Stegostoma tigrinum: one gene and its partners. The main gene of each other region encodes a partner of the protein of the gene in region 2 in a complex. Links are inferred from orthologs where the notes say so. Each region holds a gene or a part of one and is shown on either strand. Other genes may lie near its edges. The genes, in order: pierce1, tubulin alpha-1A chain and cfap276.

Region 1 (7,305 bases), on a different chromosome or scaffold from region 2:
ATATCCATACACAGAACACCCTGTGGTACAGTCACTCATTATTTTGAGAAACTGGAGGAAGGTATAAATGATCACTGGTACCTGTAACGCTCCAGCAGTGAGGCCCCAGAAACACCAGCAACAGGTAAATAGACATTCACAATGAGGGAACCAGTGGGAACAGAACACCAGTAGAAAGGCACGAGGGAAACCAGTCTTTGCATTAATGTTTCCTGTAAAATACATAGTGTCTTCAACAGAGAAATACTCCTGCAGCACTGCCACCCTCCTTTAAAAAGAAAAGCACTGACCCTCCAGTTGTGTCTGAATTAGGAATTGGATCTCAGTGAATCTCTATCTTTCGCACCAACTGGAACGGTTGAAGCAATGTGAATTGTCATTTTTTTAAAGAAAAGACAAATAGTTTTGAGTTTGTATTAAAAAGATGTATTTAAATACAATGAATGAAAAGTTTTACACAGAGGGTTGACAGCGTTTGAGAAGCTGCAACAACATATTTGTATTTGGAGTTTGTGCAGTAACAGGGCCTTGCCTAATCTGTGAAGGAAGGACCAGCAGAGAAGTAGGACCGATGAAAGTTCAGCCGGTCCTGGAATGTGATCAGGTTTTCCGGTCCAGTGACCAGCGATTTTTCCATGCCAACGTTAAATCCATGGTCCTTGTACATCCCACATTTGCTTAAATGTTCTGAAAGTTTCTGAGGCACCGTGTAATAGCTGGTCTGGAAAGTCAAGCGGTCAGCAACGATGAGAATGGGGTAAGTTACACCCACTTTGATCTGCTACAGATCTACAACCCAGTCTCTCCACGGGGGTACGGCTCCCACACACTGACTGTCACTGCAGTACAGCTTCCATGCACACCAACCCTCACCAGGGTACGGCTCCTACACACACTGACTCTCACTGGGGTACAGTCCCACACACACTGACTCTCACTGGGGTACAGTCCCACACACACTGACTCTCACTGGGGTACAGTCCCACACACACTGAAACTCACTGGGGTACAGTCCCACACACACTGACTCTCAGTGAGGTATGGATCCCAATTATGTTGAATTTGTCAAACTGGACAGCGACTATAAATTGGCCATTCAACCCCACATGGCTGTTAGATTTCTGTGAAATTCCCATGAAACCCGATGACTTCAGCGAGTGACGTTACTTACCGGCATTTCATGAACTGTTGGCTGCTGACTGCCATAGGTCTGGTTTGTCGTCCTGTACAGTGGGTTGGTTGGCCGAGATCTGTCAATTGTCATTCAATGAAATGCAAGTCTGGTGATAATCAGATATCAAACATGTGCATTTATATAAATACTGTCTCTTGGGCTACTCCTGAGAAAGGCCATTCAGCCAATCACCTTTCCCATTGTTTACCACTGGTTGCTGATCAAACTATGACCCGGACGAGGCTGTTCAGCCTCTCTTCCGGTTCTTTCATTCTTTTATTGGAGGTTGACAGGTCTTTTAATTTCCATTTACCTTGAAAAGTGTCATCAAACAACAATGAACGATTCGCTGTTTTGACTTTTTTTTTCTCCTGCAGCAAACACTCAGCACTCACCCTCCCTCAGATACAGTTCCACTGCTGCCGTTTTTTTTGAGTGAGGAGGAAAGTGTTTCAGATTTCTGCACCCCTTTGTGAGGAGTTACTACTTGATACCAACCACAACAGCCCCAGGCTCTGACGTTAAGGTTCTACACCAGGCCACCACCTCACACCCCTTTTTCTGGCCCTCAATCCTTTTGCCCTTTACTAAGAATCCAAGAGCAGACCCTTACGCTGATCCTTGATCTCAACTCCATTTTCCCATATCTGTTTCTTCCCTGAGGGACAAGGTATCACGGTGGCCCAGTGGTTAGCACTGCAGCCTCACAGGGCCAGGGACCTGGGTTTGATTCCACCCTCGGGTAGCTGTCCGTGTGGAGTTTGCACATTCTCCCCCTGTCTGCGTGGGTTTCTTCCGGGTGCTCCGGTTTCCCCTCTCAGTCCAAAGATGTGCAGGCTAGGTGGCTTGGCCGTGCTAAATTAGCCAGGGGTGTGTGGATTTAGATGGGTCATGGGGGATGGGTCTGGGTGGGATGCGGTGTGGGTCAGTGTGAACTTTTAGGCTGAAGGTCCTGTTTCCACACTGTAGGGATTCTATGATCTTTCTATCCCAACGTTAAATATACTCAGCAGTTAAACAGCCTGCACCCTCTGGAGAATTCCAAAGATTCACAATTCTCTGAGTGAAGAAATTTGTCCACATCCTGGGCCTCAATGATAATGCCCTTATCCTGAGATGGTGCCCCTTGTGCTAGGCTTTCCATCCAAGAGAAAACACACCTCAGTGTAACCCTGTCAAGCCCCTCATCTCTTTAATGTTTCCATGAGATCACCACATAGAATCATAGAATCCCTACATCCCCCCCACCCCAGGAGAAGCCCTGTAAATACTGACACACTTCCCTGCCCCAAGGGAGCCTGGGAAACTGACATACTCCCCCTGGGGACCCTCCTGTAAACACTGACACACTCCCCCTTGGGACCCTCCTGTAAACACTGACACACGCCCCCTGGGGACCCTCCTGTAAACACTGACACACTACCCCTGGGGACCCCCCCTGTAGATACTGATACACTCCCCCTGGGAACTCTCCTGTAAATACTGATACACTCCCCCTGGGCACCCCCTGTAAATACTGACACACTCCCCCTGGGAACTCTCCTGTAAACACTGACACGCTCCCCCTGGGCACCCCCTGTAAACACTGACACACTACCCCTGGGGAACCCCTATAAATACTGACACACTCCCCCTGGGCACCCCCTGTAAACACTGACACACTACCCCTGGGCACCCCCTGAAAACACTGACACACTACCCCACACCTCCTCTCCCTCGCCGGTGTGAAATCCCAAACCCGTACCCATATCCCTGGAAACAGCTCGGATGCTCGAATCTCTCGGGGAGGCCAGGTTTCACCCGGTAGTACTCGCTAGTCCGGGACGGGGCGGGGGGCTCTGGCTCTGGGCTGGTTTTCAGATATTTCACGGTCGGTTCCTTCACTCCGCACAGAGACATCTCGAGAAAATGCAGCAAGATCGTTACCAGGCAACGAACTGATACATTCCAGACCAGCAGTGTTTCAGCAGCCAATGGGAGACTCTTACTGGGGAACGTCTCCCACACCTTCGGGCAGTGCTCCCACACACACTGACTCTCACTGGGGTACAGTCCCACACACACTGACTCTCACTGGGGTACAGTCCCACACACACTGACTGTCACTGGGGTACGGTCCCAAACACACTGACTCTCACTGGGGTACAGTCCCACACACACTGACTCTCACTGGGGTACAGTCCCACACACACACTGACTCTCACTGGGGTACAGTCCCACACACACTGACTCTCACTGGGGTACAGTCCCACACACACTGACTCTCATTGGGGTACAGTCCCACACACACTGACTCTCACTGGGGTACAGCTCCCACACACACTGACTCTCACTGGGGTACAGTCCCACACACACTGACTCTCACTGGGGTACAGCTCCCACACACACTGACTCTCACTGGGGTACAGTCCCACACACATTGACTCTCACTGGGGTACAGTCCCACACACACTGACTCTCACTGGGGTACAGCTCCCACACACACTGACTCTCACTGGGGTACAGTCCTACGCACACTGATTCTCACTGGGGTACAGTCCCACACACACTGACTCTCACTGGGGTACAGACCCACACACACTGACTCTCACTGGGGTACAGTCCCACACACACTGACTCTCACTGGGGTACAGACCCACACACACTGACTCTCACTGGGGTACAGCTCCCACACACACTGACTCTCACTGGGGTACAGCTCCCACACACACTGACTCTCACTGGGGTACAGTCCTACGCACACTGATTCTCACTGGGGTACAGTCCCACACACACTGACTCTCACTGGGGTACGGCTCCCACACACACTGACTCTCACTGGGGTACAGTCCCACACACACTGACTCTCACTGGGGTACAGTCCCACACACACTGACTCTCACTGGGGTACAGACCCACACACACTGACTCTCACTGGGGTACAGCTCCCACACACACTGACTCTCACTGGGGTACAGTCCCACACACACTGACTCTCACTGGGGTACAGTCCCACACACACTGACTCTCACTGGGGTACAGTCCCACACACACTGACTCTCACTGGGGTACAGTCCCATACACACTGACTGTCACTGGGCATACGTCCAGGATTCAACCCCTTTGTCCCAGGAATCAGTTTTCTCAAGGTCCTTTGCTCCCTCCCTCCAGCAACGTGGACTTGTTTTGAGAAGGCAACCTAATGTTTCCTTTTGGAACTGTATCTGGACTTCTCTTCAGATTACTCAAATCCATTTTTTGTAAAATGGAGTTCTGCTTAACTGTGCCCACTGCCGCCTCTGATTAAGTATTATAATTGTGCACCTCCTGCAAGCCAGTCTTTCTGCCTACCAACCTTTCTGAACCTCCCACCAGTTTTAATAAATTTGAATTCTCTGTTTTCCTTAGCGGTAAGTTCCCATTTTGCCAATTCCTGCACCACTTTCTGCTTTCATACCATGTGCCTGAGCCTGTCTTGGCTGCTTTCCAGTCTCTTGCATGCCCTTACAGCTGAATATTTGAAACCTCAGCAAACAAGGACATCAGTTCCCTGCTTTGGTGGATCGAACTCGATAAGTAGCTGTGGTGAAATCACTGTGGTCACCCCTGCTGCCTTGCAGCACCAGGGGCCTGGTTTTGATTCCATTCCTGGGCAAATGTCTGAGTGGAGTTTGCACATTGCCTGCGTGGGTTTCCACCAGGTGATCCAGTTTCCTCTCACAGACCAAAGATGTGCAGGCTGGGTGGATTGATTAGATTAGATTCCCTACAGTGTGGAAACAGGCCCTTTGGCCCAACAAGTCCGCACCGCCCCTTGAAGCTTCCCACCCAGGCCCATCCCCCTATACCCACACACCCCTGAACACTACCAGCAATTTAGCATGGCCAATCGACCTAGCCTGTACATCTTTGGACAGTGGGAGGAAACCGGAGCACCCGGAGAAAACATTGGTCATGCTAAATTTTCCATATTGTTCAGGAATGTGTAGGTTAGGTGCATTAGCGATGGGAAATGCAGGGTTAAGGGTAAAGGGATGGGTGGGATTGTCTTCAGAGGGTTGGTGTTGGCCTGTTTCCACACTGTAGGGATTCTGAGACGAAGTGGGGACTCCCCTGTTAACTGAAGTTTGAAAATTCCCCCAACTACTCTCCTAATTATTTCTGAGCATCATGGAATCTCGAGCTTTTTCAGTTGAATTTGACATTCTTTTGCGCTGGCCATTAGCTAATTTCAAACTTTCTCAATCACATGAGAATTGCAAACTCAGCAGATCAGCCCTGAGCTTGCCAAGAAGTCATTTGCACAACTCGAAGTTACACAAATTCTTTAAATATCCCAACATTTCACAATATACCACTTTTCAGTTTTATGTCTTCTAAGCATTGTTCAAATTTTCATTCATTTTTGATGTACCGGGGCAAATGGGCAGGATAGCCATTGTGGGGTTCACAGGAATGACAATGTGGTGGATTTGATTCTCCCCATTGCTGAGCTGGGCTCGGGCCAGCCTTTGCCCATGCATTGGGCTGGAAGGAAATAGCAAGGTACCAGTCACTGAGTGAATGGCTCAGGAAAAATTACCAGCAGCAAACAACGAGCCAATAACGAGGCATTTTAAAATTCTTTTCCAGGATGTGGGAGTCCCTGGATCAGCCAACAATTATTATCCATCATGCTTGAGACGGCGGTGGTGAGCGGCTTCCTTGAACTGCTGCAGTCCCTGGTGCAGTAGGTGAATTGGCTGTACTGTCCGAGAGTTCCAGGAATTTGACCTAGCATGGGTAGTGTTTAGCTTGGTGCGCACTATTCTTATACACTCATACACTCTAAAACCTTTATAGCACAAAAGAAGGCCATTCAGCCCATAAGGTCTGCACAAAGATCTGACAACACAAATCCCATTTTCCAGCTCATGGCTCAGCGGCCTGGAGGCTATGGCAATGCAAATGAATCGAAATGCTGTCCAATGTTACCGAAGTTTCTGATTCAACAATCCATTCGACCACAGAGTTCCAGATTCCCAACATTCTCTAAAATCAAATCACTTCTTCGCCTTCGACCTCTGACCTTAAATCTATGCCCCTGCTTATTGATTTCTCCACAATTGGAAAAACGGCCCTTCCTATCCACTCTATCTATCTCCCTCATGTTCTTATACCCTCTGTCAGGTCCATCTCAATTTTCACTGTTCCCAGTCTACCCAATCTTTCCTCACAGCTCAGATCCTCCAGCCCAGGTAGTGTTCTGGTAAATGTCCTCTACAGCGTCATGTCCTCCCAGAACTGCAGAGACACCTTCCTTACATCCTGGCTGGTGTTTCGTACAGTTCCAATATAACCTCCCTGTTCTTGTATTCTTACATCTCAGCTAATATAGGCCCTTATGAATAAAAATAGATATTGCTGGTGAAACTGGGTAGGTGTGGCAGCATTTAAGGAGAGAAAGCAGAGGTAATGTTTCATGTCCAGGAGCACTTCTTCAGAACATGAAGAGTCACTGGATCTGAAACTTGAACTCTACTTTCTTCCCACAGATGCTGCCAGACCTGCTGAGTTCCACCAACAATTTCTGTTTTTGTTTCAGATCTTCAGCATCCACAGTTCTTTGTTTTATTTAAGTACCCTCGGTGTCTTTTTAACTTTGTTATCTAACTGCCCTGTATCGCCAGGGATACGTGCCGAGCTCCATCTGACCTTCAGTGCTTCCCAGAACGCTACCATTCACAGTGTATTCCCTCACCTTATCAACCCACCCAAGTGTATTGCCCCTAATGTGTCTGGGTTGAATTCCATCTGTCACTGCTCTGCCCAGTTCTTTACTGCCATCCTCCTCGCTATTTATCACCTACTGATTCCCATGTCATCTGCAAATTTCTTGCTCAAACTTCCTCCATTTAATTCCAAGTCGTTAACGTAGACCACAAACAGCATGAAATCAAGTCTGAACCCTGCAGAAACCCACTGCAAACAGACTTTCAGTCACAGCAACATGCATCATCCAGGCAAATGGGAAGCATTCCATTGCAGTGTTGACTTGTGCCTTGTACATGATGGACAGGATTTGGGCAGTCAGGAGGTGAGTTACTCGCTGCAGTATTCCCAGTCTCTGACCCAGTCTTGTAGCTGCTGTATTTATATGGTGAGTTCAGCTG
Region 2 (7,811 bases):
CAGGTATTTAAATACAGCCAGTTGTAACATCCGCCTTCCAAGGCAGGACTAAACTCACCAGTTTACGAACTCTGTCCAGAACCAAGTCAATGATCTCCTTGCCAATTGTGTAGTGACCACGGGCATAGTTATTAGCTGCATCTTCCTTCCCAGTGATCAGCTGCTCAGGGTGGAACAGCTGGCGGTAAGTACCAGTACGTACCTCATCTAGGATCGAGAGACAGTGCAATTTCAGTGTTACAATCAACACATGTAACCACAAGATGAAATCAGGCTCATGTGGCATAACCAGAGAAGAGGTCTGCACGGTTAGTGTTACACATGCCCCTCACCTACCTATTACAGTTGGCTCCAAGTCCACAAACACAGCTCGTGGAACATGTTTGCCTGCTCCTGTTTCACTGAAGAAGGTGTTGAAGGAATCATCTCCACCTCCGATGGTCTTGTCACTGGGCATCTGCCCATCAGGCTGGATGCCATGTTCCAAGCAGTAGAGCTCCCAGCAGGCATTTCCGATCTGGACTCCAGCCTGGCCAACATGGATACTGATGCACTCACGCTGTAAGAGAAACAAACAAAGTGGTGATCAACTAGTTTGACATCTGATCTAAAAACATTCCATACAAACTTTTACTGCATTCATGCTCTGGTAAGCATTACCTTTAGGAGAAAGTCTACTACTCCCTTGATGGGTAGGCAGGCAGATGCTACCTCCATCAGCAAAATACATCTGATTGTTGCCACAGATGTCTTACTAATCAGTTGTTAGGACAGTCATGAATGATGTAAAGGCTGGATAGGTAACCACATAGCAATTTGAGGCAGCTGAAGACATGTAGTTTATGAGAAGCATCTGTACTTGATTGGATTCCTTGTATGACACTGTATTGGAAAGCATTTGAGGGGGTGGTATTACTCCCATTGTGGTCACATGCATCAGGTCTATGCTTGACCTATACAGATGTGGTTCAACTGCATCAGGTCAACTTCTATTTAAGTATCATATACTTGACAGGAGTGCAACTCATGCTGGAGAGACATATGAAAGGGGCAGGCACGCAACTCAAGTTGGGACTGAAACAGAACTGAAATTTAGTATTTCAGATTTGCAGGTAATATGGAAATCAAGCACATCACCCAGCCATTTAGCAATCGGCATATGCCATCTTCAATATTGCATCAGTGTCAATTATGATAAAACAATTACTTCATAAAGTGTACTCCACCATCCCAACATACATTTAATGCTTTTAGCAATTGTTGACATTTCTCAAAGAAATTAAATCTTATTTTGAAATCAATGATTGTTCTTGGGTATACATTTAAGAGGATACTTGATTTAGACGTTTCCTGAAAAAAAATTGAAGCACAAGTAACGATTTTACAACCCACTAGACCCATCTGTAAAAACAGTTATAACCTAGAATGGGATTGCTGTATAAATCCAAAGTTTTTTTTAAAATGAAAAAAAATCGTGTATCATGGAGAATCTCAGAATCCCTACATGCAGAAGGGGGCTATTTGGCCCCTCGATCTGCACCGACCCCACCCCAAAGAGCATACGACCTAAAACCCTCCGCATCCCTGCATTTCCCGTGGCTAATCCGTTTAGCCTACATCTGTGAACACCATAGATAATTTAACACGGTCAATCCAACTAACCTGCACATTTTTGGATTGTTAGGGGAAAACCAGCAGAAACCCATACAGAAGCGGGGAAAACATACAAATTCCATAGTCACCCGAAGCTGGAATCGATCTTGTATCCCTGATACTGGCCAGAAAAAGGGCACATCCGTGCAATTCTTGCGTTTAGCATTGCAATACGCAAACTAGCTAGAATTTCTGGTTCGGATGCTGAATTTGGGTGGGGTCATACTGCAGTGCAGATTGTCTCCAACTGCCGCCATGTCTCCCCTCCCCCCGACCCCTCCCAGAAGGGAAGCAGACGGATTACAACCACTCTCCCCTACACCGCCATCTTTTTTATCTTTAAGCCCAGTAATTTAGACAGGCTCCATTATCCGTAGTTTGATTCTTAGCACAGCTTTACGATGTACAAAAGCTGCCTATTTCACGGTGACCTCGTGTTGACGTTGGCTTTGTGTCCACGTATGACCGTCACTGACGTGTACTGTTACTAAGCAGCCCTACAGTGATTTCACTAGGGAATGGGGACGAAAGCTTTCAGTTTGTAGCTATGGTTGACAAGCCATTGAGCAGTAAGTGTGGAAACGTCAGTAATCCCGACACAAAGCAATTTCGGGGGTCGGGGGGGGGGGGGGGGGGGAAGTATGCCAAATTCAGCTCACACCCTCTGCACGTTGAGAGTCACTGCCCATTGTGTTCCAACATCTCTTTCACATATCCTTGTAGACATATGCAGCGATTAGCTAGCGAAAAGCCTAGAAGTGATCTTAAATTCGCTGTTAAGTGTAACGGATTTTTTCCCTCCGGATAACATTACTTGCAGAAGTCCATTGAAATGGCTTTATTTCATCACCCTTAGCATTAAGTGTGAAATTGATTGTATTGACGGAAAATTGCATGCGAATAGCGTACGTGTACACTATCTTTGATAGCAAGTTATTCCCGTTGTAATTAAATCATTCACAGGCAACGTAGTTTGTTGCATTGTATTTGCAACACGAACAGATCATTTGGTCGGTTTATGCTCACATGAGCCACCTCCCACGCTATCAGCCTTTCTTCCGTTCCTTTCACTTCGGACCGCATTTAGCTATCCCGTGATGTTTATGTTCACGAGATTTGCGTAGTGGAATTTAGAAATTAAGTCAGACAAGTGTACTTAAAAACAACAATTAAGATGCTTAAAAACGAGAACAAGTCTTACAACACGAAATTCCAACGTGTAGCTTGCTGGGGAGAAAGAAAACTCTTTTTGTATTAAACAGCATCTTACCATGATGCCTGGTCCTTGATAGTAGACAAAACAAATGGAATAAAGAGAGGACTTCAGCGACTTCTTCCTACAGCGCGACTTTTACGGGTCGTCGTAAGAAAAAACCTACCCTCAGCTGGGAGAGACATGTTCTTATAGTGGGGCCAGACACCGGGTCCTGGTCAGTGGAGCCATTCCCATTGGAGGAGGTCTGTTTGAGTGACGAGGAACTATCACAATGCTGACTCTCTGATTGGAGGAAACATGCTCCGTTAACCGCTTCGCGGGTTCTGATTGGGTAGACGCTCCTGAATAAACTAATCGCCTTGACCACGAGTGATTTGGAACAAAGGCTGACATTTGAGAAAACAGCATTTGAACTGGCGACGAAATAGTAAGATTCCGGTTTTCAGAGGATAAAATACCTCAGCAATTAATCAAACCACTGTTCTTCTGAAGTAATAAGATGGCCTTGCCTTATAAAGAGAAATTCAAAGGAAATATTTTTTCACTGATAACATCATGGACTACGTTGAACTGCTTATTTGATGAAGGAAATTATTAAATATCTTATAAATACCAATTTACAGATTAACAATTTTCTGACTATTCTCTTCGTTAAAAAGTTTTTCATAATTAACGAAGCCACGTTTCCATCTATTTTACACAAGGAATTTCCCGCCCCCAACGAATAATGCATTCTTTTACAAACCACGTTCAATCTTTTAGCAGAATTACACGACTAGAACCTGCATGTAAAAAGGTGGTATTTTATTTACTGGCCACTGTAAAATTAATACAATAATTCGTGAAGTTTGTTACATTCGTGAAGTTTGTTACATTAGCTCTTTGTAACGATATAAGACGGAATTGCTGTTTCTCTCACTGTATCAGAAAATGTTCTACACGTTGCAATTCGGCCAGCGCGTTCTGTTAACGGCGCCTTCTCAGTTCTAAACTGTCACATCCCGACAAACTTCGCCGCAAATATTGCCCTCCATTGGGGCAGGATCGGGAGACAAAATAAAACGGATTCCTTGGTAATAGCAACTTTGTCTCTTGTTGCTATTGTTTCATGTTACGAAACTGGCTGTGGAATGGGACAGGGTGGGGCGGGGATTTTTCAGTCTTTTGTGCTGGACACGCGTCAATACAGTGTAACTATTTTAAATTGAAGCGGTTTCAGAGAAACAGTCTATTCCTGATTTTGTCGAATTATTAAAAAAAACGAATTTTAAAACATTTCCCACGAGCATTATTATTTTTATTCTATTGTATTTTAGGTGATTTTGACTGTCCGGAGTAGCATATTTCAGCAAACAGACAAAGGCAGTCCTACACACTGGATATAGGGACGTAGTTTTCTTTGCTGGTAGAGAAGGCATAAAGCTGATTATTACACCAGACATTAGCCCGGTGTAAGCTTCAATCACACCTATCAGCTGATGGAGGGAGTTTGTGTCTCGAAATGGAGGGGTCCAGATTCGATTGTATTGTAAGCGTCTCCAATAGATTTGTTGATGTTATCTGAACATATAAATGTGCCTGTTATATGTGGAAGTCAAATTTCGCTGTCTTATTTGTACGGGCAGAAAACCATATCTGGATATTTTCTAAAGTGGGAAAAATTATTATTCGCCCCCAGTAACAATTATGCATTTCAAAAGAATGGTCGCTCGTGTAACATGTGACTCACACTGCAGCTACAGCGTTCTACGTGATTCATTCTGCAGTGACTGCTTTCTCCCCTTTTCCTCAGGATGAGAGCACTAGGTAGTCACAATGAGCCATTTGCTACATCACCCAAGTAACCATTTTTTCACATGGTTGATCCTAAACAGCCATTCATCGCTTGTCATTGTCAGGAGAGTGAGGGCACAACCGTGCTGCTACATGGCGTGATATGGAGCCACGCAGAATAAGAGGGCACGGAAACAATCCAATCTCCCCATCCACATACGATCCTTTTCCCATCCTTCCCAAATCAATTCCATTAGAAAACCCTCCAATCCCTTTGTCTCAGATTCCCATCTAGGTTCTACTTGAATTAATCTATGCTATTTCCCTGCAGCCACTCCCTGGTAATGAATTCCACATTCTCACCATTCTTTTGGGTGAAGAAATTTCTTGGGAATTCCCTACTGGATTTCCTGGGGACTTTCATGTTGCTAACCTCTGGCTATACTCTTCCATACAAGAGGAAACATTCCTTCAGTATCCATAAAAAAAATTCATCCTTTCAAAGATCGCTATTTGCTCACCCCTTAATCTTTTTCAAGGGAAAACAGACAGCCTATTCACCCTTTCCTGATGGGTATAGCCTCACAGTTCTGGTATCATGATTTTCACAATCGGAGTAGGAATCATAGTTGATTTCACCCTGCCTGGCTCTTGGTCCTGAAGTTAGTTTTAGCAGTTACAGTCCCCAAGATCAACTAATTCATGACAAATAACTCCATTTCAACAAATGTCAGGCAGCTGAAATTCAATCCATAACTTTGTTCAACAGAATCTTCTAGATAAATAACACACTTCAGAAATGTTGCACTGCAATAATGATCTAATGAAGGAGAAACATTTGGTGTACAATAATAATTTTAAATGAATATAGAGAACAATAGTTATTTGGGAGAATTATGAGACTATAGTAAGTTGCTAGCAAATACTGAGGAACAAAGAGACCTTGGTGCACAAGTCCATAGATCCCTGAAGGTGTCAGCACAGGCAGACGGGGCGGTGAAGGTGGTGTACGGGAAGCTTGCCTTCATGAGCTAGGGTATAGAATTTGGAACAAGGAAGTCTTGTTACAATTTTATAAAGAACTGGTTAATCCACAGACGGAGAACTGTGTGCAGTTCTAATCACCAAATCCAAAGGATGTGACTGCACTGGAGAGGATACAGAGGAGATTCATCGGGATGTTGCCTGGGATGGAAAGTCTTAGTTATCAGGAGAGACTGAATAGCCTGGACTTGTTTTCCCTGGAGCAGAGGAGGCTGACGGGGGGATCTGATTGAAGCGTACAAAATCATGCAAGACATAGGTAGGGTCAATGCAAGAATCTTTTCCCCATGCAGATATGTCTAAGACCAGAGCAAATACGTTTATAGTGAGGAGTAGGTGGTTTTCAGGGAATCTGGGGAAAACGTTTTCCCCCAGAGTGTGGTAGAAATATGGAACATGCTGCCTGAGGGGGTGCTGGAGGCAGTTACTCTCACAACATATGAGCAGCAGCTGGATGAGTACTTAAAATACCACGGCATAGTAAGCTACAGACCAAGCACAGGTAAATGGGATTAGTTTGGTATTTGTTGTTCAGCATAGACATGGTGGGCTGAAGGGCCTGTTTCTATGCTGCATGTCTATGATGGCTGAAGACATGGTTGATAGTGATGGTGTTAAAAGAGGTGGAGATTTGAAAGAACATGGAGTTCTTGGAGAGTTGGAGTAGAACACAGTGATATGTTGGAGTGAGGCAATGATAATGAATAATACAAGAATGACCATTTTAAAAAGTTAGATTTAAGTGGACCAGGAACCAATATAGAATGATATACAGCCTGTTTTCTGATCCCTGAAATCAGATTACAAGCTGTTCACTTCACCTGTAGGCATCCAAACTCTGCTGCCCATTTCCAAATGCGGATCAAGTTCCATTCACTTGTCACCCCTGTGCTTGCTGTCCCTTGTGTCATTCTAGATGGTGACTGTTGATATGTAGTTCAATGATAGGTTAAATCTCAGCCAGGGCTGATGATAATGCTCATCTGCTATCTATGTGTCCTTCTCAGCAAGAGTCACTGAGGAAAGCTGAAAGTATAACTGATATTCTTTAGTTTGGAGACGTTGAAGTATCCCTCTTACTCCCCAGGCAATTCAGAAGGACCTTTCTGGTTTAATTTTCTGGCTGCATTATCCACTTGCCTACTGGCAGAACCACAGCCATCTTCAAATGTACACATGTTAATCCAGAAATCTGTCTACCAATGCCATTGATTCTGCCCAAGATACCGATCAATCAATCGCTGACCCTGGGTTTATTAAATCGACAGATAGATAATTAGAAATGTGAATCCTGTTGGGCCACTTTTGGCTTGCTGATTGTTTTTTATGAATAGTAAGAAGAACATTTTTCCTTTATAATAACGCATTTCTGCTACAATGAAACTTAAGGACAAATAATTAAATTATTTCCACAATTCTTTTGTTTACTGGTTCAAGAGCATGTCAGATTTGCCACTGTCAGTAATCTCAACACAGCTTGCCTCTCCTAGATTGCATGTTGGAAAGCTAATTAGAATGGACAGTCAATTTTTCAATCCTGTCGCTAGGAGATGAATAGCTCTGTTACCATGGAGACTGCCTTGGCACCCTGGTGGGTTGTAAGCCTCTTTTATCACATCAGAGCATACGACTGCTGTCACATCCATAAAACAGTATTTGCAATTCACTTTTTAGGATATTGTAGGCACTTCCACAATCCAATTTCCCTATATAATTGTGCAATATCTTTCAGAGAGAGTTGAAAGAAAAGAATCAGTATCTAATTGAATCAGAGATAATGGGAACTGCAGATGCTGGAGAATCTGAGATAACAAAGTGTGGAGCTGGATGAACACAGCAGGCCGAGCAGCATCTTAGGACAAAAGCTGACGTTTCGGGCCTAGAACCTTCATCAGAAAAGAAGATGCTGCTTGGTCTGCTGTGTTCATCCAGCTTCACACTTTGTTATCACGGCATCTAATTGAGTCAGTTTAGTTTGTAAGAACAGAAAGAAACTTGCATTTCATAATCTCAGGGTCTTCCAAACACTTTACAGCCAATGAAGCACTCCAGTTGTCTTCATTGTACTGTAGAAGACGTAGTCAGCAATTTGCATACACCACTCAATGTGATGATGACCAGATAA
Region 3 (7,911 bases), on a different chromosome or scaffold from region 2:
CTTTTTGTGAACAATTCAGAAACTGATCTGTATTTTTTAAAACTACTATCTTTTTAGACTCACCAGTTATTTACAAACTGTGCGTATGTGTGTTGTGTTACAATTTCTTCTGTGCAGTAAACAATAAACCCACACATTTTGTTCACTAAAGAAGCCTGGTTGAATTGGCTAATTTTATAACATAAGTTTATTTGGCTGTGGTAGATACGTATCCAGAGGGAAGGGACCCTTTTAAATTGTACTGCTGCAATGAACTGAGGGATGGACAAAGTAAAAAGGGTAGCCAGTTCATGCTTCCTCACCTGAGAGCCTAGACAGTGGTGTAGTTGTGATGTTACTGGATCTGTAATCCAGAACCTGAGGCTAATTTTCCAGGGATATAGATTTGAATGCCACCATCGCAGATGGTGCACTTTGAATTTAATGACAAGCTGGTCTAATGGCAACCATATTGATTGTTGTGAAAACCCATGTGGTTCACTAATGTCATTTACAGAAGGAAAATCTGCTGTTGTTACTTGGTCTGGCCAACATGTGACTCCAGACCAATGGCAATGTGGTTGGTCCTTAACCACCTAGAGATGGACAATAAATACTGCCTAGCCAGCGATGCCCTCATCCCATGAATGAATAAAAAATTCTGTGCCCTCAGGAAACCACGTGACCAGGCATCGTTAACACAGCATGCAGCTGGAGGAATACAGCAGGTGGGGCAGCACCACAGGAGTAGGAGAATCGCCATTTCAGGCCAAGATCCTTCATTAGGACTGATCTGCTGTGTTCCTCTAGCTCCACACTCTGACTCCAGCATCTGTAGTTCTTGCTATCTCCATTTTACGTTTGGTGGCTTGATTTTGAAAAGTGGATGTGGACACTTAAACAGGAGGCTCAATGAGATATTCTCATTGAAGAATTTATAAACTTCAATTCCCTCCCAATAAGAATGCACCATGAGGACCAGAGAGTGAATGGGTCCAGGGAGACAACTACATTCGCTAATGATTATGAGCTGATCCACAAACTCCTGTTTCCTAGTCACCTCAACCAATTGGAAAGGATGGGAAGAGCAATGGGTAAGTTAGGCATTCCTGGGAGAGAAGGAAATGTTGGAAGCCTTCCTCAGGACTGCAAGAATGATGTTGAGATGAATGGGGAGGCCACAAAACTTGTGTATTTTAACTACTGAGAGATGGGGCATGTCTGGGCCAACCTTTGGTATTACCAGAGAAATGAAAGGGGATTTATTGGAGCACAATCACCCATTCAGACAATGAGAGTCAGTCAGAAAGTATAGCAAACCAAGCTATGACTCCGACTGCAGCTGTGAATCCATGTAAAGGCGCTCCTGAGAGTACAGATGAGGTTAAACAAATCCCGGAGAGTTACTGGAATTTTATGAGCAAATGAAATGTGGCCACATTTCCCTAGTGTGAGGTAAGCAAGCCTCTAGCAATACTGAGGGATACCAGGGCCAGTCAGACTCTATTGTTATGAAAAGGCATGGCCCTCCTACCTGAGAGTGCAGCAAGTGGCAAGGTGCCAGTAGAAAGGATTAAAAGAGAGTATATGACTATTCCCCATTACCAGGTCCTGCTGGAGCGTGACCTTGTGTTGGGACTAGTGATCATGAAAGTTGTTGTACTCTGCCTGTGATAAAATCATAGAATCTCTCCAGTGTGGAAGTAGGCCGTTCAGCCTATTGAGTTCACACCACCCTTCCGAACTGCATCCCACCAAGACCCACCTTCTCACCCCACCCCTGTAACCCTGCATTTTCCATGGCTAAAATCAATGACTAGCATAATAGCATTCCCAATAGCTTCCAAGAAAACTACTGAGGAGGGAGACCAACCAGCTGCAGGAAAAAATGCCTGTCATTTTCCCTGACTGTGTGGTCTGTCAGATTATCAGATTATTTTTTGGGAGTTTAAAAGACTCCAAGCAGGTCGTAAATAGAGCTTTCTTGATAGCAACCCAACAAGTTGACCCATTGTTAAAATCATTAGCTCAGGCTGCTTATACTGGAGCTAAGGTAGAAGCAGTACTTCGGTGCTCCAACATTAAAAATGAAGTGCTGGTGAGAAAACGTAGACCTCTTCACTGATCTGCAAAAGAGGAGCAGGCAGCAGAGCCAGCAAGATCCTGTAGGCAATACTATGGCCAAGTCATGAAATTCTGATGGCGAGGCATGTCAGTGTATGCAAAACTCAAGCCCTAACATTTCTACTGGTCACAGCTTCATAGGAATGTAGAAAAGTTTTCAGAATCTACTGCACTTCCAGTTTGTAGGAAAACCCTAACCTGCAATAAAACCTGCACTTGATTCGCCCTTCAGTTTTTAGGGATGTATTCAACAGGGTGTTAATGGGCTATGTGGGACTCCAGCTCAAAATAAGAGGAGGATATCAGTGTATCCTTACTGTCACAGATATGGTTATTCTCCTGAGAACCACTATCTAGCAAAACAGTGGTGACGTAACTGATCCAATTCTTTACCTGGTGTGACCTGCCCCATTGTCTCAAGGCAGTTTTACAATTCTCATATTTGTGTTCTCATCTCTCAGTGGTCATGTACTTCCCTATTTCTATCACGTTATCATCCACTACAACTTCCCAAGGTCTCTGCACTCCGCCAAACCTGGCCAATTGTGCATCTCTGACTTCCTTTGTTCCACCATTGATGGATGTGCATTTAGTTAATTGTCTAAGCTCTGACTCTAAGCTATGCCCTCGTGCAAAACATCTCCTTTGAGAGTATAGGCTGCAGAATGCGAACTGGACAGATTCTCACCATTGTTTAAATCATTTCACATCAATGTTTTCCTCTCTCCCCCATGATATGAAAGGAGGTACATGGGGTGAATTTGCCAAAAATTGTTACTCCAATGACATAGGCAGTCATAGAACATAGAACATTACAGCACAGTACAGGCCCTTCAGCCCTCGATGTTGTGCCGACCTGTCATACCGATCTCAAGCCCATCTAACCTACGCTATTCCGTGTACGTCCATATGCTTGTCCAATGACGACTTAATTGTACCTAAAGTTGGCGAACCTACTACCATTGCAGGCAAAGCGTTCCATTCCCTTACTACTCTCTGAGTAAAGAAACTACCTCTGACATGTGTCCTATATCTTTCACCCTTCAATTTAAAGCAATGCCCCCTTGTGCTCACCATCACCATCCTAGGAAAAAGGCTCTCCCTATCCACCCTAGCTAACCCTCTGATTATTTTATATGTTTCAATTAAGTCACCTCTCAAGCTTCTTCTCTCTAATGAAAACAGCCTCAAGTCCCTCAGCCTTTCCTCGTAAGACCTTCCCTCCATACCAGGCAACATCCTAGTAAATCTCCTCTGCACCCTTTCCAAAGCTTCCACATCCTTCTTATAATGCGGTGACCAGAACTGTACACAATACTCCAAGTGCGGCTGCACCAGAGTTTTGTACAGCTTCACCATAACCTCTTGGTTCCGGAACTCGATCCCTCTATTAATAAAAGCTAAAACACTGTATGCCTTTTTAACAGCCCTGTCAACCTGGGTGGCAACTTTCAAGGATCTGTGTACGTGGTCACCGAGATCTCTCTGCTCATCTACACTGCTAAGAATCTTACCATTAGCCCAGTACTTTGCCTTCTGGTTACTCCTACCAAAGTGCATCACACTTCACACTTGTCTGCATTAAACTCCATTTGCCACCTCTCAGCCCAGTCAAATAAATGTCACTGCAATCTCGAGGCAAACATCCAAATAGAAAAACGCAGCAGGTTTGGCTGCATCTGTGAGGAAAAATCAAAGTTAATGGTTCGTTCTCAGGAAGGGTCACTGGACCCCAAACCTTACCTCTGATTTATTTTCCTCACCGATGCTGCCAGATCCGCTGAGCTTTTCCAGCAACTCCTGTTTTTGTTGCTGATTCACAGCTCTTGTCAAACATTCAAATATCTTACTCCCCTGTTACCATTTTAACATGCGTCTAAGTTCGCATCAGCTAAGTTCAAGTTTAAAAATTATATTAAATATTTAACAATTCAAGTCTCCTACATCACTGCCTGGGCAATGAAACAGGCTGATGCATCTGTCATGTAGAAAAGGCTGAAAGATAGTCAAACACTTCCAAGAATTTTACATATTATGTGCTTTGCTGTTGTTTGTAGAATTATTGCGAAGCTCATCATTGGGGCTCAGTTGGGTCAGGTGGCTGCACGGCTGTGTGTTCAATTCACCCACAGGCTGAAATTACCATAAATGGCTTTCCTTCTCAACCTCCCCCTTTGTTTGAGGCGCGGTGACCCACAGGTAAACCATCAGTATCATCTGTCTCTTTCAATAGAGACAGCAGTGCTACGGTCTGGTAGGGCGATTAGGAAGTTTGTGATCTTGTTTCAGAGGTTTTACTTCATTTTAATTAAAGGCATACTTTCTTAATTCATAGAACAGATAAGGAAACGTGTTTCTATTGCAGTTATTTTCATATTCAAGGTTAAAAATATAGATTAAATATTTGATCGAAAAACAATGTCCTGAATAGTTTGCATCAAATGAAGTTATCAACAAATATTATTAGCGACCACCCTGAAGAAAACGCTATTATTGTTTCACCATTGGAATGGGTTAGTTCGCGATCTCACATTTTTCACCTTTGCTGCTCTCTCCCTTGTAATATATATATGGTAATTTTTTTTATTTTGAAAGAAAATCGAAAATACGTTTTACGCAGGTTGATCGTGATGTCTTGGTGTAAAACCTGCAGGTTGACTGTCAGGTTATCACAGCATTTCACACACCACCTAGCGGTACACACTGTCCTGCGCCCGCGCTTCGACACAGACACGGACTTCAATAGGTGCCAACAGGAACCTTCACTGAACTCTTCAGAAGCTGACATCGACCTGCACGCCAACAGATTGATCACCAAACGGTGGTTTTACCGGCAATATTTTCAGGTCACGTTGATACAATGAGATATAACTCAAAGGAGTCGAAAGAATTTTTGTGTGAGTAACATTTTGTGGCTTTCGATTAAGAGGTAATAACAACAAACACTTCACACCTTCATTAAACAAACACTTGTCAATTTCAGGATTTGTGTAGAATACAATTGATTCGCAGTTTACAGCAACAACTCTAATTATTAAACATCCTTAATGTGCCGTGCGACAGCTGCCAAATCAAAATTAAGTATTCCATATGGACACGGTACTAAACAAGTAAAATGCCTCGTTGAAATATCTTGTGCACAACAAACTTTGCAACTTGATAATTATGCATGCTTGTCTACGTTTCGGTTCAAATAGTAAACAAAGCTAAGAAATTCTACAATTTATTTTCAATCATAACTGCATTATTACAAATACAGAATAGCTAGAATACAGTAATGAATGCACCGTACCTCTTTGCAAATTGGAAGGTTTTCTCCAGACTGGTCCTGCAGGCTTAATATTTGCTGAGGTAATAATAGAAAACCTGTTGAGAAAAACAAAACACAAAGGAACAGACGAGGAAACGAGGTATTCCCACTCATGACTCGTCAGCTTGAGAGATAAATGTTGCGGACAATAAAATTGCAAGAGGGTCTGGGGGAATAGCAGACTCTCTCTCTCTTTCTCCTTGGCTGCCACGCCGTGCCTCGGACTTGTCAAATTGCGGGCACTGTGGAACTGAACTGGTGTCGCCGGGTCACGACCGTTCGTCAATTCGCGGAAATTCGCGGAAATTGCCGAGTCACACAGACAAACAGCGCAAGTGGCAGCTGCGCTGCCTTCTCAAGACGGACGGAAAAAAACAGTTGAGGCGGTGCGTCTTTCCCATGGGCTGTCTACACCAGACAACAAATGCAGCAAAGTTCTGTCTTATCTTCGAAATAATCATGCAGCGTCTGATACCGGCGTAAAACATTGTTGCACTACATCATTCCAATCTTGCGCAATAGGAGCGGACAAGAGGGACATGACAAGTGAAAGCTCTGAATCTTTAAAATAGGAATTCGACATTCTGTCCTTTAAATAATTCACATTCTGAGCACTGAATCTAAACGGGTCATCTTCGAAATTCTATTTCGATTCCAAACAAGCAGAACGTAAAAACTAAACAACTTATAGAACGAAAGAACAGAATGGTCTCTCGTCTGGTTAGATTTAAACTGCCCCTAAAATACATGCCCTCATTGTTCAAAAATGATCACTTTAAGATGAACACACACATCACCAGTGGAATTCAGTGGCCAATAGTATGCCAGGATTTTGTCTTGTTATTTTTAGCAGCATGTCCATCAGCTACCTTGCTGAATCCATTTAGGTGTAATAATTCTTCCTTCAAATCATTGGCATTTTCAGAGGGATAATCGACATTGGAGCGGGAGTAGGCTATTTGACATCTTTATCCTGCTTCATCACTCAACTGAACAATGACCTTCTGCCTCACTATTTCCCTCAACTATCCCCAAACCCCTTAACATGTTGTTTAAGTAGAAAGCTAATCATCTCTCTGTCAGGTTGCCCCTCAGCCTCCTGCATTCCAGTTACAACAAACCCAGGTCTTTCTTAATAGCTAAAATCCCCCTATACCTGCCAACATCCTGGTAAACCTTTTCTGTTCTGACTCCAATGCATCCACATCCTTCTGGTAGTGTGGACCAGAACTGTATGCAATATTCTAAGTGTGGCCTAACTAAAGTTTAGGGTGGCATGCTGGCTCAGTGGTTAGCACTGATGCCTCACAGCACCAGGGACATGGGTTCAAGTCCAACCTCAGGCGATTGTGTGTGTGTGGAGTTTGCACATTCTCCCCGTGTCTATGTGGGTTTCCTCCAAGTGCTCCAGTTTCCTCCCACAGTCCAAAGATGTGCCGGCTAGGTGGATCGGCCATGCTAAATCGTTGATAGTGTTCAGGGATGTTTAGGCTGCAGGGGCTGGGGCTGGGTGGGATGTTCTAGGGGTCAGTGTGAACTTGTTGGGCCGAAGGGCCTGTTTCCACACTGTAGAGATTCTATGATCTCTTACTTGAATATACTCAGTGACAGAGCCCCATTCCTCTGGAGTGGAGATTGCTGAAAATTTACCATCCTCCTTCACACAGATATACAAGGTGTAGAGCTGGATGAACACGGCAGGTATGGTGTGTGAATGGGGATGCGACAGGAGGAGTATAAACAGATCACCTATGATCTTTTTGAATGGCACAGCAGGATCATGGGGAAGAATGGTCTACTTCTGCTCCTGTTTCAGACTGGCAATGGAACCAAAGACTCTGAAGACACACAGAAAACAGCTAAATATTGTTAGTGAAGGAAATTTCTATAGAAGTATGAGCTCAATAGTTGAAGTGATCTGTCTCATGTTTGTAATATATATGAAATCACTTGAGCTGTCACACACAGGAGAAGTAAGTTTTTTTTTAAATTTCAGTGTTCCGACTGAATTGACTTTATATTAGCTTCATCTGCCTTTCCTGTGGATGTAATGATTTCATCATTTTTTGTCATCTCCACCTGAAACGTCAGCTCTCCTGCTCCTGCAATGCTGCCTGCCCTGCTGTGTTCCTCCAGCTCCACACCTTGTTATCTAAATAAATGAGAATTTGTTTCTATTCCTTCAGTTACGTTTGTAGACTATTGTGTACTACAAAGTGGAAATTAACCTTAGAATGCTGCTTATTTGTATTTGCCAACAACTTTACTCCCTAATAATAAAGTTGTTAAGTTATACAGCATGATAAACAGACCCTTCAGTCCAACTAGTCTATGCCAACTATGTTCCCAAACTAAACTAGTCCCACCTGCCTTCGTTTGGCCTGTATCCGCCAAACCTTTCCTATTCATTTTTCTTTATTCTTTATTGATTCACAGGATGAGGGCTTGGCTGGGCAGGCAGCATTTATTACCCATCCCTAATTGCCCAGAGGGAAATT

What was found.
Region 1: the proteins of tubulin alpha-1A chain (region 2) and pierce1 are in contact, whole or in part, in a cryo-EM structure (PDB 7UNG), measured with the Homo sapiens proteins. The link is inferred for Stegostoma tigrinum from reciprocal best matches to the Homo sapiens genes TUBA1A and PIERCE1. Residues at the interface, in NP_001257328.1 of Homo sapiens: Met1, Arg2, Gln15, Asn18, Ala19, Glu22, Cys25, Leu26, Glu27, His28, Gly29, Ile30, Gln31, Pro32, Asp33, Met36, Pro37, Asp39, Lys40, Asp46, Asp47, Ser48, Asn50, Glu77, Gly81, Thr82, Tyr83, Tyr224, Thr225, Asn228; in NP_001041730.1 of Homo sapiens: Tyr28, Pro35, Gly36, Arg37, Phe38, Trp43, Phe44, Arg45, Gly46, Tyr47, Arg48, Thr58, Ser59, Asn60, Gln61, Ala62, Tyr63, Gly64, Arg66, His71, Glu72, Pro74, Phe77, Tyr78, Pro79, Asn80, Ser81, Asn82, Lys83.
Region 3: the proteins of tubulin alpha-1A chain (region 2) and cfap276 are in contact, whole or in part, in a cryo-EM structure (PDB 7UNG), measured with the Homo sapiens proteins. The link is inferred for Stegostoma tigrinum from reciprocal best matches to the Homo sapiens genes TUBA1A and CFAP276. Residues at the interface, in NP_001257328.1 of Homo sapiens: Lys112, Glu113, Ile115, Asp116, Leu117, Leu119, Asp120, Arg123, Lys124, Asp127, Arg156, Ser158, Val159, Asp160, Gly162, Lys163, Leu195, Glu196, His197, Ser198, Asp199, Tyr262, Pro263, Arg264, Trp346, Lys430, Asp431, Glu434, Val435, Val437; in NP_001231954.1 of Homo sapiens: Pro43, Trp44, Arg46, Leu47, Asn48, Thr50, Pro51, Thr52, Ile53, Thr54, Ser55, Arg57, Arg58, Ala60, Tyr62, Asp64, Ile67, Pro68, Lys69, Asp70, Asp71, Phe74, Arg75, Lys90, Ser91, Leu94, Leu95, Asn96, Lys98, Thr99.

The regions. Positions count from the first base shown.
Region 1 is NC_081382.1:43,955,920-43,963,224, reverse strand, and holds pierce1 (piercer of microtubule wall 1 protein), read right to left. Parts: upstream 3,097-7,305; 5' UTR 3,074-3,096; coding exon 2,919-3,073; intron 1,251-2,918; coding exon 1,172-1,250; intron 722-1,171; coding exon 533-721; 3' UTR 458-532; downstream 1-457. UniProt on the Homo sapiens protein: Microtubule inner protein involved in the attachment of outer dynein arms (ODAs) to dynein-decorated doublet microtubules (DMTs) in cilia axoneme, which is required for motile cilia beating.
Region 2 is NC_081404.1:13,027,705-13,035,515, forward strand, and holds the start of tubulin alpha-1A chain, read right to left. Parts: upstream 3,061-7,811; 5' UTR 2,927-3,060; coding exon 2,924-2,926; intron 560-2,923; coding exon 337-559; intron 208-336; coding exon 59-207; intron 1-58. UniProt on the Homo sapiens protein: Tubulin is the major constituent of microtubules, a cylinder consisting of laterally associated linear protofilaments composed of alpha- and beta-tubulin heterodimers.
Region 3 is NC_081374.1:21,710,386-21,718,296, reverse strand, and holds the start of cfap276 (cilia- and flagella-associated protein 276), read left to right. Parts: upstream 1-4,863; 5' UTR 4,864-5,000; intron 5,001-5,395; coding exon of another isoform or gene 5,396-5,527; exon of another isoform or gene 5,528-5,932; intron 5,933-7,849; exon of another isoform or gene 7,850-7,911. Other genes in the region: elapor1 (endosome/lysosome-associated apoptosis and autophagy regulator 1), read right to left, coding at 5,396-5,527. UniProt on the Homo sapiens protein: Microtubule inner protein (MIP) part of the dynein-decorated doublet microtubules (DMTs) in cilia axoneme, which is required for motile cilia beating. May play an important role for the maintenance of myelin-axon integrity.